Linked DNA regions of Mus musculus. Each later gene encodes a partner of the first gene's protein in a complex. Links are inferred from orthologs where the notes say so. Each region holds a gene or a part of one and is shown in the gene's direction. Other genes may lie near its edges.

The links. Proteins that work in one complex are often made in the same cells at the same time.
Region 2: Mks1 (region 1) and Tmem237 share a complex: the UniProt entries of both Homo sapiens proteins name them as parts of the tectonic-like complex. The link is inferred for Mus musculus from reciprocal best matches to the Homo sapiens genes MKS1 and TMEM237.
Region 3: Mks1 (region 1) and Tmem231 share a complex: the UniProt entries of both Homo sapiens proteins name them as parts of the tectonic-like complex. The link is inferred for Mus musculus from reciprocal best matches to the Homo sapiens genes MKS1 and TMEM231.

What each region holds. Positions count from the first base shown.
Region 1 is NC_000077.6:87,851,780-87,856,019, forward strand, and holds the start of Mks1 (Meckel syndrome type 1 protein homolog), read left to right. Parts: upstream 1-1,435; 5' UTR 1,436-1,470; coding exon 1,471-1,550; intron 1,551-1,957; coding exon 1,958-2,067; intron 2,068-3,198; coding exon 3,199-3,269; intron 3,270-3,692; coding exon 3,693-3,848; intron 3,849-4,240. UniProt on the Homo sapiens protein: Component of the tectonic-like complex, a complex localized at the transition zone of primary cilia and acting as a barrier that prevents diffusion of transmembrane proteins between the cilia and plasma membranes.
Region 2 is NC_000067.6:59,106,306-59,109,822, reverse strand, and holds part of Tmem237 (transmembrane protein 237), read left to right. Parts: intron 1-626; coding exon 627-784; intron 785-1,024; coding exon 1,025-1,148; intron 1,149-1,593; coding exon 1,594-1,785; intron 1,786-2,295; coding exon 2,296-2,369; intron 2,370-3,188; coding exon 3,189-3,279; intron 3,280-3,517. UniProt on the Homo sapiens protein: Component of the transition zone in primary cilia. Required for ciliogenesis.
Region 3 is NC_000074.6:111,916,813-111,920,329, reverse strand, and holds part of Tmem231 (transmembrane protein 231), read left to right. Parts: intron 1-1,373; coding exon 1,374-1,502; intron 1,503-1,895; coding exon 1,896-2,039; intron 2,040-3,517. UniProt on the Homo sapiens protein: Transmembrane component of the tectonic-like complex, a complex localized at the transition zone of primary cilia and acting as a barrier that prevents diffusion of transmembrane proteins between the cilia and plasma membranes.

The sequences.
Region 1 (4,240 bases):
TCATCCTTTAAATAGGAATAAAGTACCTCTTGGAGAGGTTTTTGGGAGGGTTACAGGCAATACAAATGAAAAATGAGTAGGTGCTATTTGTGGTGAGTTCTTAGTGCACACAATGAATAGTTAGGTGCTCATGATTTCTCTGCTCTATAATCGGATGGCCATGAAATGTCCCAGGCCAGGCAACAATTGCTTATTCGGATGAATAAGTAGCAACCGTCAAATACTAATTGTCAATATTGATATTGCCAAACTGCCGGAATTAAACTTATACCATCTTTCCTTGGATGTGCCAGTGAACCATGACTTCTGAATGTCACTCTGGTGGTTTTTCAGGGGCTGGCTCGGAGTCTTAACTGGTTAATAATCCAGAACCAACATGCCCCAGGGAAAACACCCTTTCCTTCCTTTCTGCTGGCTTCCTTGTTTTTTATTTCTCTGGCTCAGTGCATACCAACAAAACTACTAATATACCTGCCCCACAGGTTTTTTTTCTTCCAGGAATGTTTTCTTTCTTTTTTTCTTTTTCTTTCTTTCTCTTCTTCTTCTTCTTCTTCTTCTTCTTCTTCTTCTTCTTCTTCTTCTTCTTCTTCTTCTTCTTCTTCTTCTTCTTCTTCTTCTCCTCCTCCTCCTCCTCCTCCTCCTCCTCCTCCTCCTCCTCCTCCTCCTCCTCCTCCTCCTCCTCCTCCTTCTTCTTTCTCTTTTCTTTTCCTGTCTTTTCTTTTCTTTTTCCTGAGACAGGGTTTCTCTGTATAGCCCTGGCTGTCCTGGAACTCACTCTGTAGACCAGGCTGGCCTCGAACTCAGCAATCTGCCTGCCTCTGCCTCTCAAGTGCTGGGATTAAAGGCGTGCGCTACCACTGCCCGGCTGTTTTTTAATTTTTGTTTGCATGTCCTTTTAGTCATATCCACCAACTGTTTAGGCCTGAGTTTTCTCTCCTTAAATTTTTTTAAATTTATTTTATGCATAATGGTGAACATGTTTGTGCAACACATGTGTACTGTAAGGCGGCAAGGTGTCTGACCCTTTGGAACTGGAGTAGAGACAGGTGTGAGTGGCCATCTGGGCCTGCTAGTTCCTCTGAAAGTCCAGTCACTAACCTCTTAACCACTAAGCCATTTCTCCACGCCCCCTAGGCCGAAGTTTTCAAATGTTCAGTGGAAGGCAGTGTTTGATCAGAAAGTAAGGACTCAGGTCACCTGGTTCTGGCCACCATCACCATTTTTGCACCTAAACAAAGTAGCTGATGGCGGTTTTCTCTTTTGTGCAGTGCACCAACTTTCACCTTGGGTGGAGGTGAGCTTTACTCACACAGGACAGCTGAGGGTCCCGCTGCCAGGCTAGGGACTGGCTCCCGCAGACGTGGAGAGCTGCGCGCGCAGCGCCTCCCTTGCCTAAGAAGCCAGCGTCTCCGTTGCCAGGGGAACGAGGCACCACGCTTTCCGGCGCGGTCGCAGCGCGAAGCAGCTGTCATGGCGGAAGCGGTCTGGAGCACTGACACCGGCGAGGCCGTGTATCGCTCCCGGGACCCCGTGCGCAACCTGCGCCTCCGGTAGTCACTCGACCCCAGTTTCAGGGCCCCCTAACTTTATGCTCCGAGGCCCCCTAACTTTATTCCACCCTAAGCTTTTAGATGCTCAGAGGCCCCTACTTCCGCTTACAATCCCAACTACTTCCTCTGCCATCTCTGCGCGCGTCTTGTTATCAGGATCTTTTTCCACTGAAAGCTTCCAAGTACACCTTTCAGATTCACCCTGCCCAAGTCCCTTCAAGTTCTCGCCACTTTCAAACCCCTCGGGTCCCTGTGCTGATTTATCCAGCAGACGCCCCTACCCACCTCTTCTTTGCAGCAGCCTTGACTTCTCTGCCTCTGTGATTTCTTTCCCCGATTCATGCTCTGTATATCTCCTTGCTGTGTGTCTCTGACACGCGTATTTGGGGCTTCTCTTCTCTTGACAGAGTTCATCTGCAAAGAATCACATCAAGCAACTTCCTTCATTACCAGCCTGCTGCCCAGATGGGGAAGGACCTCATAGACTTGGCCACTTTTAGGCCTCCGCAAGCTGCTAGTGGGTGTTTGTGATGACGCTACATTCATTTGAGACTAAGGCAGGGGTGCGGGGCAGTAGAGGTACAGAGGAGGAACGGAAGGCTCAGAGAGGTTGAGTTTATTGCCCAGTGTCACCTAGCCGAGGAATATAGAAGCATTTGAATGAACCTGGGCAATCATCTTTTTAATTTTTTATTATTTATTTATTTTTTTACATTGTAATTTACTTTTGTGTGTGTGTGCACGCCCATGCCACAGTGCGAGAGTGAAGTTCAGGGGATAACTTTTGCGAACCAGTTCAGTTATCTCTTCACCAGATGAATCCTGGGGCTTGAGCCATCTTACCCGAGTTGTGACTTGGGGGATGGGGAAAGGACTTCTAAGAGAAATATGTTCCAAACTCCAAATGTATGTATAAATACACTTAAAAAACAATTTTAAAACAGGAGTTTGCACGAAAATATGATTTTTTCCTCTTGCCTTGAAAGCCAAAAGAAAGGACAGGACCGTCGTGTTTGGCCAATAATTTTTCATGCTTTTGTCATTGTTCTTTCTACTCAGAAATATTCTTAGGCAAAAAGGGTAGCCTGGCAGATCACAAATCATGCATCTTGTGTTTCTGGATGATTCGGTGGTGGTTTCAGAAAAACATCAGGGTCCTTATCTAGCAAATTCAGCCAGGATTGAGGAAGGGCTGGCCCTTCAGCCTCTAGCTAAACTCTAGTGCCTTATACGGGACTAGAGAATGTTTCTTGGAAGGCAGAGCTACCTTTTATTCAAATTAGAGTAATGATTAGGACACCTCAGGCCCTAATCTTGCTTCTAGTATTAACCAAAGTATGTCCACCACCTGCATTCTATGTTTAGAGTGAGCGCTTAGTGAGTCACTAAATTCCAGTGGGGTTTGCGGTCAATGTGAGTAGGGACTTTGAAGGCAGACCTGGTGGTATACACGTGTAATGTCAGCGTTTTTCTGCCGAGGCAGGAGGATCTGGAATGTGAGGTCAGACCGGGCTGCAGAATGAGACACTTCCAAACAACAATAGCAAAAAATTTTAAAACCCAAATGAGACAAGAATAGGAACACTGGTTGTAATCAACCAGAGAGGAAGAAATGTTGCTGGTCTGACTCACTCTGTTGTGTTTGGAGGTGGACACCGCCCTGACGAAGAAGAGGAGGAAGAGGTTGTAATTGGATGGCAGGAAAAGCTCTTTAGCCAGGTGAGCCAGCATTTCTTGTCTTCAGTCTACCTCCACCTACCTGACTCCCACCGGGCCAGTGACTCATACCGTCAAACTCATCTCCAGGAAAGGTTGTGGTGGCTTATACTTATGTTTATGTTATGTTTATGTGGCTATTGTAATATAACGGCTGCCATGTTCAGTTTAGCGTTCTAGGTAAGGCACTCCCCATCTCCGGGCTCTATAACATCTCTAGCAACAAGGTTGGATTAGAACATCAGCTTGGATCCTTTTAACTCGAATATTCTTAGATTTTTTTCCCCCTGCCCTTCATTTTTTGAACAAAGTGACAGTCGGTTTTCAAAACGTGTCAGCTAGCGCTAGAAGTGATTTGGTTCAGTAGCTGCAGGAACCGAAGTTTGAGGTAGTCCCAGCTGATCTGTTTCTTTGTGGTGACCTCAGTTTGAAGTCGACCTGTACCAAAATGAATCCGCGTGCCAGAGCCCACTGGATCATCAGTACCGCCAAGAGATCTTGAAACTGGAGAATTCTGGCGGCAGGAAAAACCGGCGAATCTTCACTTACACTGACTCGGATAGATACACCGACTTGGAAGAGGTATCATTCCTTCTGGGCCCTCATTGCTTTCTTGTTTGTCTCCCCTGGTTTTCTAGCCTCGCTGGCTCTAGGTTGTAAGTGGAAAGCCCAGTAAATGGGGCGATATAGAACATAGATGGTTCTAGAAGCTGCTGGAAGCTGCTGGCAGCCAGGCTGCAGTGGGCAGATGCAGGTGATGTCCTTCTGCCTGTCAGAGGGCCCATGGGACCTGATAGCATAGGAATTGATGACATAGATGGGCAGGGTCTAGAACAATCCATTTACAATTCAGTCAAAGTCAGGAGTTTATAGGCAAGAAGAGGAACATGATTAGGCTGTGGGGATACCTGTGTCTTAGCCTGTGTCCCTGAGCCCTTGTGGGCTTGTTTTACATTCTCTTCCATTACTCTATG
Region 2 (3,517 bases), on another chromosome or scaffold:
ACACTGAAAAGAGAAGAAGAGAAAGGAAAAGAATAGTGTATGGAAATAGCCCAAGGACTCGTCTCTAAGAAAGTGTTAGCAAGGAGAATATTTTCATATAAGTTGCAAAACCTGAGATAAAGATTAATGTTTAAACATAAGCTACTGTGATTTGTTTCTTTATGTTAATGGATTTGAAATATTTTGAAATAACTTTAACCATTGTGTTTTAATATAGGAAAATAACTATATTATATAGTTACATACATTTTATATATATATATATATGTTGTAAATAATAACATATATCATATAAAATACAACAGCATACTTAAAAATATGCTGGAAGTTACATAACAGTAATGTTTGTACCTAAAAATGACTACAAAGAATAACCAATCACATTTAGTAGAATTTTATAACTGGAAGTCAGGAGAAATCCAGCCCGGTCAGTGCCCCTTCTCTCAGTGAGGAAACTGCAGTGCACAAGCGTGTGTGCAGCTAGTAACAAATCTAGTTGAGTAAACGGCATATTTCTTTCACTCCAAGTTCAGGACTCTTTCCATTATATTCGTGGGTAATTTCTTATGTGGCTCTTTAGAAATCCAAGAATGATCTATTGTTTCAACAATTTTCTCTGATTTCAGGAAAACCCAGCCAGCTGAGCCACAGTATGCTAGCGAGCTAGGGGTGGAAGATGAAGACATACTCACAGATGAGCAGAGCACTCTAGAACATCACTCTAGGTTCACGGCACCCACCGGAGTTAGCCAGCCTGTTGGCAAAGTATTTGTGGAAAAAAGCCGTAAGTAACTCCTTGTTTTGGAATACAATTGCTCTAAATATTGTATAGGGATATCTTTAACCTGGTGATGATAGTTCTGATGACCTGAGTGAAGGAAATAATAAAGTAATGTAGAGGAAAATTGACACACAAAACTAGTCATTATGCTATTGTTTTTTTTCCCAACTGGATTTTATTTGTTTTAAAATACATTTTTAAATAAATAAGTCCCATTAGTGACTGTGTTCTCTGTGCTCCCAGGGAGGTTTCAGGCGGCGGACCGTTCCGAGTTGATAAAGACCACAGAAAACATAGATGTGTCAATGGACGTGAAGCCATCTTGGACTACCCGAGATGTGGCACTTTCTGTGCACCGAGCTTTCAGGTGGCTGCCTTTTGTTGGTGTTCGTTAAGCAGATGTTAATTGGATATCATCATTTAAAACCAAAGAAAAAAGCCTTGGTTGTTCTGTACTTTGTAAACAGTTTGACAATTTAAAATGGTATGTAGATTTAGTTTTGTAGACATTCCACTTGTGCTTCTCATAATATGTTAAATTGTATTATATTTGAGGAGATTTTAAAAATACCTTAGCCTTTTATTTTAGTGGCTAATATATAATTAAACTTTTCTCCTTCTTATCTTTGAGTACTTTTCATAATTTATTTATTGACTTTACATACCAATCACAGCACCGCTTCCTCCTGTCCACCCCGTCCTGCCCATATGTCCCTCTCCTGATTACCTGCTCCCTCTCTCCTCAGAGAAGAGTAAGTTCCCACCCCACCCTGGGACCTCCATTCCCACAGTAATTAAACTCTTCTGTGCAGGATGGTCGGTCTGTTCTCTCATGGCTTCTTGGCTGGCTGTGCTGTGTGGAATACTGTTGTGATCTACGTTCTTGCAGGAGATCAGCTGTCTAATGTCTCCAACCTTCTGCAGCAGTACAAGCCCTTGGCTTATCCCTTCCAGAGCCTTCTTTACTTGCTTTTGGCTCTAAGTACAGTTTCAGCATTTGATAGGTAAGGCTGTTGTGAATGTGGGGCCTTCTAACCTTCCTTTAGGAAGAAATAGTGAGCAATATATGTCACTATGACTTTTCAAGGTAGAATGTTTGTTTTTTAAACCAGTCTTTGGATTAGCATGGCCTTATCTTCATTTCAAAGTATCCATAGAGATCTCATTTCCAAATAAAGTCACCTTCATAAGGACTAAGGTTAGACCATCACCACTTATTTTGGGAAACACATAGGTCAACCCATTTTAAAAAATATCAGCAGGACTGGGGAGATGGCTCCATGGGTAAAGATGCCTGCTCTCATGCCTGCTGTCCTCAGTTTGCTACTACCTAGGACCCATATTGTGGTAGGAGACAACCAACTCCTACCTCCACATGTGCACCAAAGCTCATAACTCAAGGTGTGTGTGTGTGTGTGTGTGTGTGGCGGTAGGTAGACTAGAGAAGGGAACACCACCGAGGGAAGTACATTGTGTTACAGCTGCACAGTGACAAAGCTTTCATCTCATTCTAGGACTGACTTTGCTAAAATATCAGTAGCAATCCGGAACTTTTTGGCCCTGGAACCAACAGCTTTAGCTTCTTTTCGTGAGTAATAGTTACTGTGATAACTATGTTATAATTGAGGAGCAATTCTGTCACTTTGAATCAAGAAAAATATTGTATAGAAGGTTTATATTATTTCTTCATATAAACCATTAGATCAATGAATTTGTAATTTAAAATGTGGTAGGAGTAATTTTTTTAGAACTATTCTTTTGTTTTTGTTTTTGAGGTAGGATCTGTTACATAGCTCAGGCTGGCCTTGAACTTTGTGTGTGGTTGAGAATAGCCTTGAACTTCTCATTCTGTTTGCTCTCCTTTAAATGCTGGGATTTGTAACCACCCAGTGCCGTGCCTGGCTTGCAAGTGTTTCTTATTTGAAGATCATCCAAATGACTTTCAGAAGTTGAATGTATATGTGAGATGCTGGGTTTAATGTTCTGCACCAAAAGTAATAAGTAATGTTAAATGTGTGGCCTTCATTACTTATTCAGCTTCTGTGTTTTCCACTTGGTAGACACAGCTGGCATGGCCTTTTAGTAATGAATACCATTTTATATATTTCTGGCATTCTACAGTACATTTTTTGTAGGTTACAAGATTCTATTAAAGCGAGTTTGAGGACCTTGAACAAGTAATTTAAATTCTTAAAATCCTTTTAGGCTCTTTCTTGCCAGTTCCAATGATAAAATTGTACTCACCTATTACACTCTGCACCGTATTATCTACATAATAAAAGCTGCCTAGTGGCATTAAATGTATTTCTTTTGTATAATCATTCACCAAAGTGTGGCTTATTTTGGTCTTAAAATTCAATATAAACAGCAGTCAAATTTATTAGTAATTTCACTTCTTCCCCCTCAGTGTATTTTACTGCTCTAATACTATCTCTGAGTCAGCAAATGACAAGTGACAGAATCCACCTTTACGAACCTTCTGTCAATGGAAGCCTCTGGTAAGAATCTACAGTAATATGCTAACAGCAGCAGTGGGGGAGGAGGAGGGCAATGATACCATTCCACATTTTCATCTGTAGATCATAACAAGGCTATGTTTCTGTTTATAATAAACCATGAGAAGAAAACACCTGTTCTGTTGGTTAATGGATAATGACCTTTTTATATTTTTACTTTTGTTTTTCTTGACATGTAGTTTCAAGTAGCCAAACCTCCTTATGTAGGTGAGGCTGGCTT
Region 3 (3,517 bases), on another chromosome or scaffold:
GAGACAGATAGTCCAACCAACCAACCTTAAGTATCTGAAGCAAAGTCACTCGAGATTTAGGATGTGCAAATAGGGGCTACACATAACGGCTCAGTGGTTAAGAGCACTGGCTGATCTTGCTTCTGCAGAGGACCTGAGTGTAGTTTCCAGCACCCACATGATAGCTCACAGCCATCTGCAACAACACTTTCAGGGCCTCTTCCAGAACCCTTCTGACCTCTGTGTATAGCAGGCATGCATTCAGTGCACAGACATATGTGCATGCAAACATTTATACACATAAAAATAAATCTTAACAAAATGTATAAATAGAGCTTGGTGGATTGAATAGCACTTGCTTGGTAAACACATGATGATTAGAGTTAGACTTTGGGGGGTTTTTTCTATTTTTTTTTTTTTTAAGGTTTACTTATTTATTTTGTGTGCGTGCTCCATCTGCATGTACACCTGTGTGCCAGAAGAGGGCATCAGATCCCATCACAGATGGTAGTGAGCCACCTTGTGGTTGCTGGGAATTGAACTCTGGGACCTCTTAATGGCCGAGCCAGCTCTCCAGCCCTGCTCTTTCCATTTGGACAGACTGACTTGGAGATGGAGCTAGCACACAGTGGTCAGCTCTAGTCTAGTGTGTAAGAGACCCTAGCCAATCCCTAGCTCCCTAAACAAAGAACAACAGGAATAAGAGCAAGGAGGGAGAGGAAAAAGAAACTCCTCTCTAGGGGCTGGAGACAGGGCTCAAATCTGTCCTTACAGAGGACCCAAAGTTTTCACCTTCCTCAGGCAGCTCATAGTCACCTATACCTTGAGCCCCAGGGCATCTAACAGCGTCTTCTGGCTTGCATAGTCCCCACCCACCCACCCACCCACCCACACATATAACTAAAATAAATAACTGATTTTGTTTGGTTTTTTTGGGGGGGTTGTATGTAGGTGTTTGGTTTTGTTTGTTTGTTTTTATTTATTTCATGTATGTGAGTACAATGTAGCTCTCTTCAGACACACCAGAAGAGGGCATCGGATCCCATTACAGATGGTTGTGAGCCACCATGTGGTTGCTGGGAATTGGACTCAGGACCTCCAGAAGAGCAGTCAGTGGTCTTAACCACTGAGACGTCTCTCTAGCCCTTCTTTTTCTTTTTCTTTTCTTTCTTTCTTTTTGTTGTTGTTGTTTGTTTGTTGGTTGGTTGGTTGGTTGGTTTTTGGTTTTCCAAGACAGGGTTTCTCTGTATAGCACTGGCTCACTTTGTAGACCAGGCTGGCCTTGAACTCAGATCTGCTTGTCTCTGCCTCCCAAATGCTGGGATTAAAGATGTGTGTGCCACCACTGTCCAGCTATAACAATTCTCTAAGAAAGTAAATCTCTTCTTTTGTAGTCCAGAGAAGAAGACCGGAACCAGGATGGAAAAATGGATGTGCTGTACTTTAAACTTGAACTTCCCCTGCAACCCACAGAGCATGTCCTCGGTGTGCAGCTAATCCTGACCTTCTCCTACCAACTGCACGTGAGTCTGTCCTCACATATATGTCTGCATGTCAGAAGAGGGCACCAGATCTCATTATAGATGGATGTGAGCCACCATGTGGTTGCTGGGAATTGAACTCAGGACCTCTGCAAGAGCAGTCAGTGCTCTTAACCTCTGAGTCATCTCTCCTTCTCCTCCTCCTTCTCCCTAGGGAGAGCCACACTGCAGATGGCTCTTCTATGGAAAGTGACTAGGAACTTAACATAGACAAATTGAGTATTCAAAGTAATAGGCCTTTCTGGGCAGAAAGTTCCTGAGTGGGCTAACACACTCATGCCGGGCCTATCATCTTCAGCTGCTGACAAGTGAGTTGTGGACCCCCAGGCTCTTCAGACCTGACAATGTCATCATCTCTCTCCCTAATGATTTTAGAGGATGTCAACATTCGAGATGCAGAGCATGGCCTTTCTCCAGTCCTCCTTTGCTGTCCCTGGGTCACAGTTATATGTGAATGGCGACCTGAGGCTGCAACAGAAGCAGCCACTGAGCTACCGTGGCCTGGACATCAGATACAACGTAAGGATGCCCTTGTAGTCCAGCACCTTCAGGCCTAGGCTTATCACAGCCTTCAAAGGACAAGAAATTTAAGCTTAGAAATATAGCATTTAGTTCTTCTTATGTGTACGAGTGTTCTGCCTGAATGGATGTTGGGCACCATAAATGTGCAGTGCTGGACCCAAGCCCACGTCCTTAGAAGAGTAGTCAGTGCTCTAAACCACTAAACCATCTCTCCAGCCCCATCATGAATTTTCTTTCTTTCTTTCTTCCTTCCTTCCTTTCTTCCTTCCTTTCTTTCTTTCTTTCTTTCTTTCTTTCTTTCTTTCTTTCTTTCTTTTTATAAAGATTTATTTATTATATACACAGCATATATAGTTCTGCATATATATCTGCATGTCAGAAGAGGGCACCAGATCTCATTATAGATGGATGTGAGCTATCATGTGGTTGCTGGGAATTGAACTCAGGACCTCTGCAAGAGCAGTCAGTGCTCTTAACCTTTGAGTGATCTCTCCAGCCCAAATTCTTAATGTAGGAAGGGAGTTGGAGGGCTGGCTCAATGGTTGAGAGCACTAGCTGTTCTTCCAGAGGACCCAGGTCTGATTTCCAGCATTGAGGTAGCAGCCTACAACTGCTTGTAGTTCCACTTCCAATGGCTCCATCATCCTCTTCTGGCCTCCTCAGGCACTGTGCACAGATGGTGCACAGAAACACATATAGACAAAACACACATACACATAAAAAATAATAATTTTTTTTTTTTTTTTTTTTTTTTGGTTTTTCGAGACAGGGTTTCTCTGTATAGCCCTGGCTGTCCTGGAACTCACTCTGTAGACCAGGCTGGCCTCGAACTCAGAAATCCGCCTGCCTCTGCCTCCCGAGTGCTGGGATTAAAGGCGTGCGCCACCACGCCCGGCGATAAAAATAATAATTTTTTAAAGGTTTATTTATTTATTTTATGTATATGAGTACACTGTAGTTGTCTTCAGACACCCCAGAAGAGGGCGTAGTTGCTGAGAATTGAACTCAGGGCCTTTGGAAGAGCAGTCCATGATTTTAACAACTGAACCATCAATCTAGCCCCTAATTTTTTTTGTAGAAGTAAAAAAGGCACACCTTGGTTTATACCCGGAGAGAGAGGGGAAGCATTCTTACTAAAGAACCAAACTGTCTATTGCTTTCAGGTACACACATTCCAAATGTATTCTGTGTTAATTTTTGTCGCTGTTTGTTTGTCTTGTTTTGTTTCTTTAAAACTGTAGCCCTGGCTGTCCAGGAACTTGCCCTGTAGACCAGGCTGGCCTCAGACTCAGGCAGGGATACACCTGCCCTGTTGGGATTAAAGGCATTCATCATCACCAGGCCAACTTCTGCTAGTTTATTGCTTGCTGTGACCATTCCTGACAGAATAACCTGAAAGGGGAAAGATCTATTTTGCTCACAGTTTCCTCCCTGTGGGAGGGAGGGGAATAAAGAGCTCCTCATGCTGTGTCCTG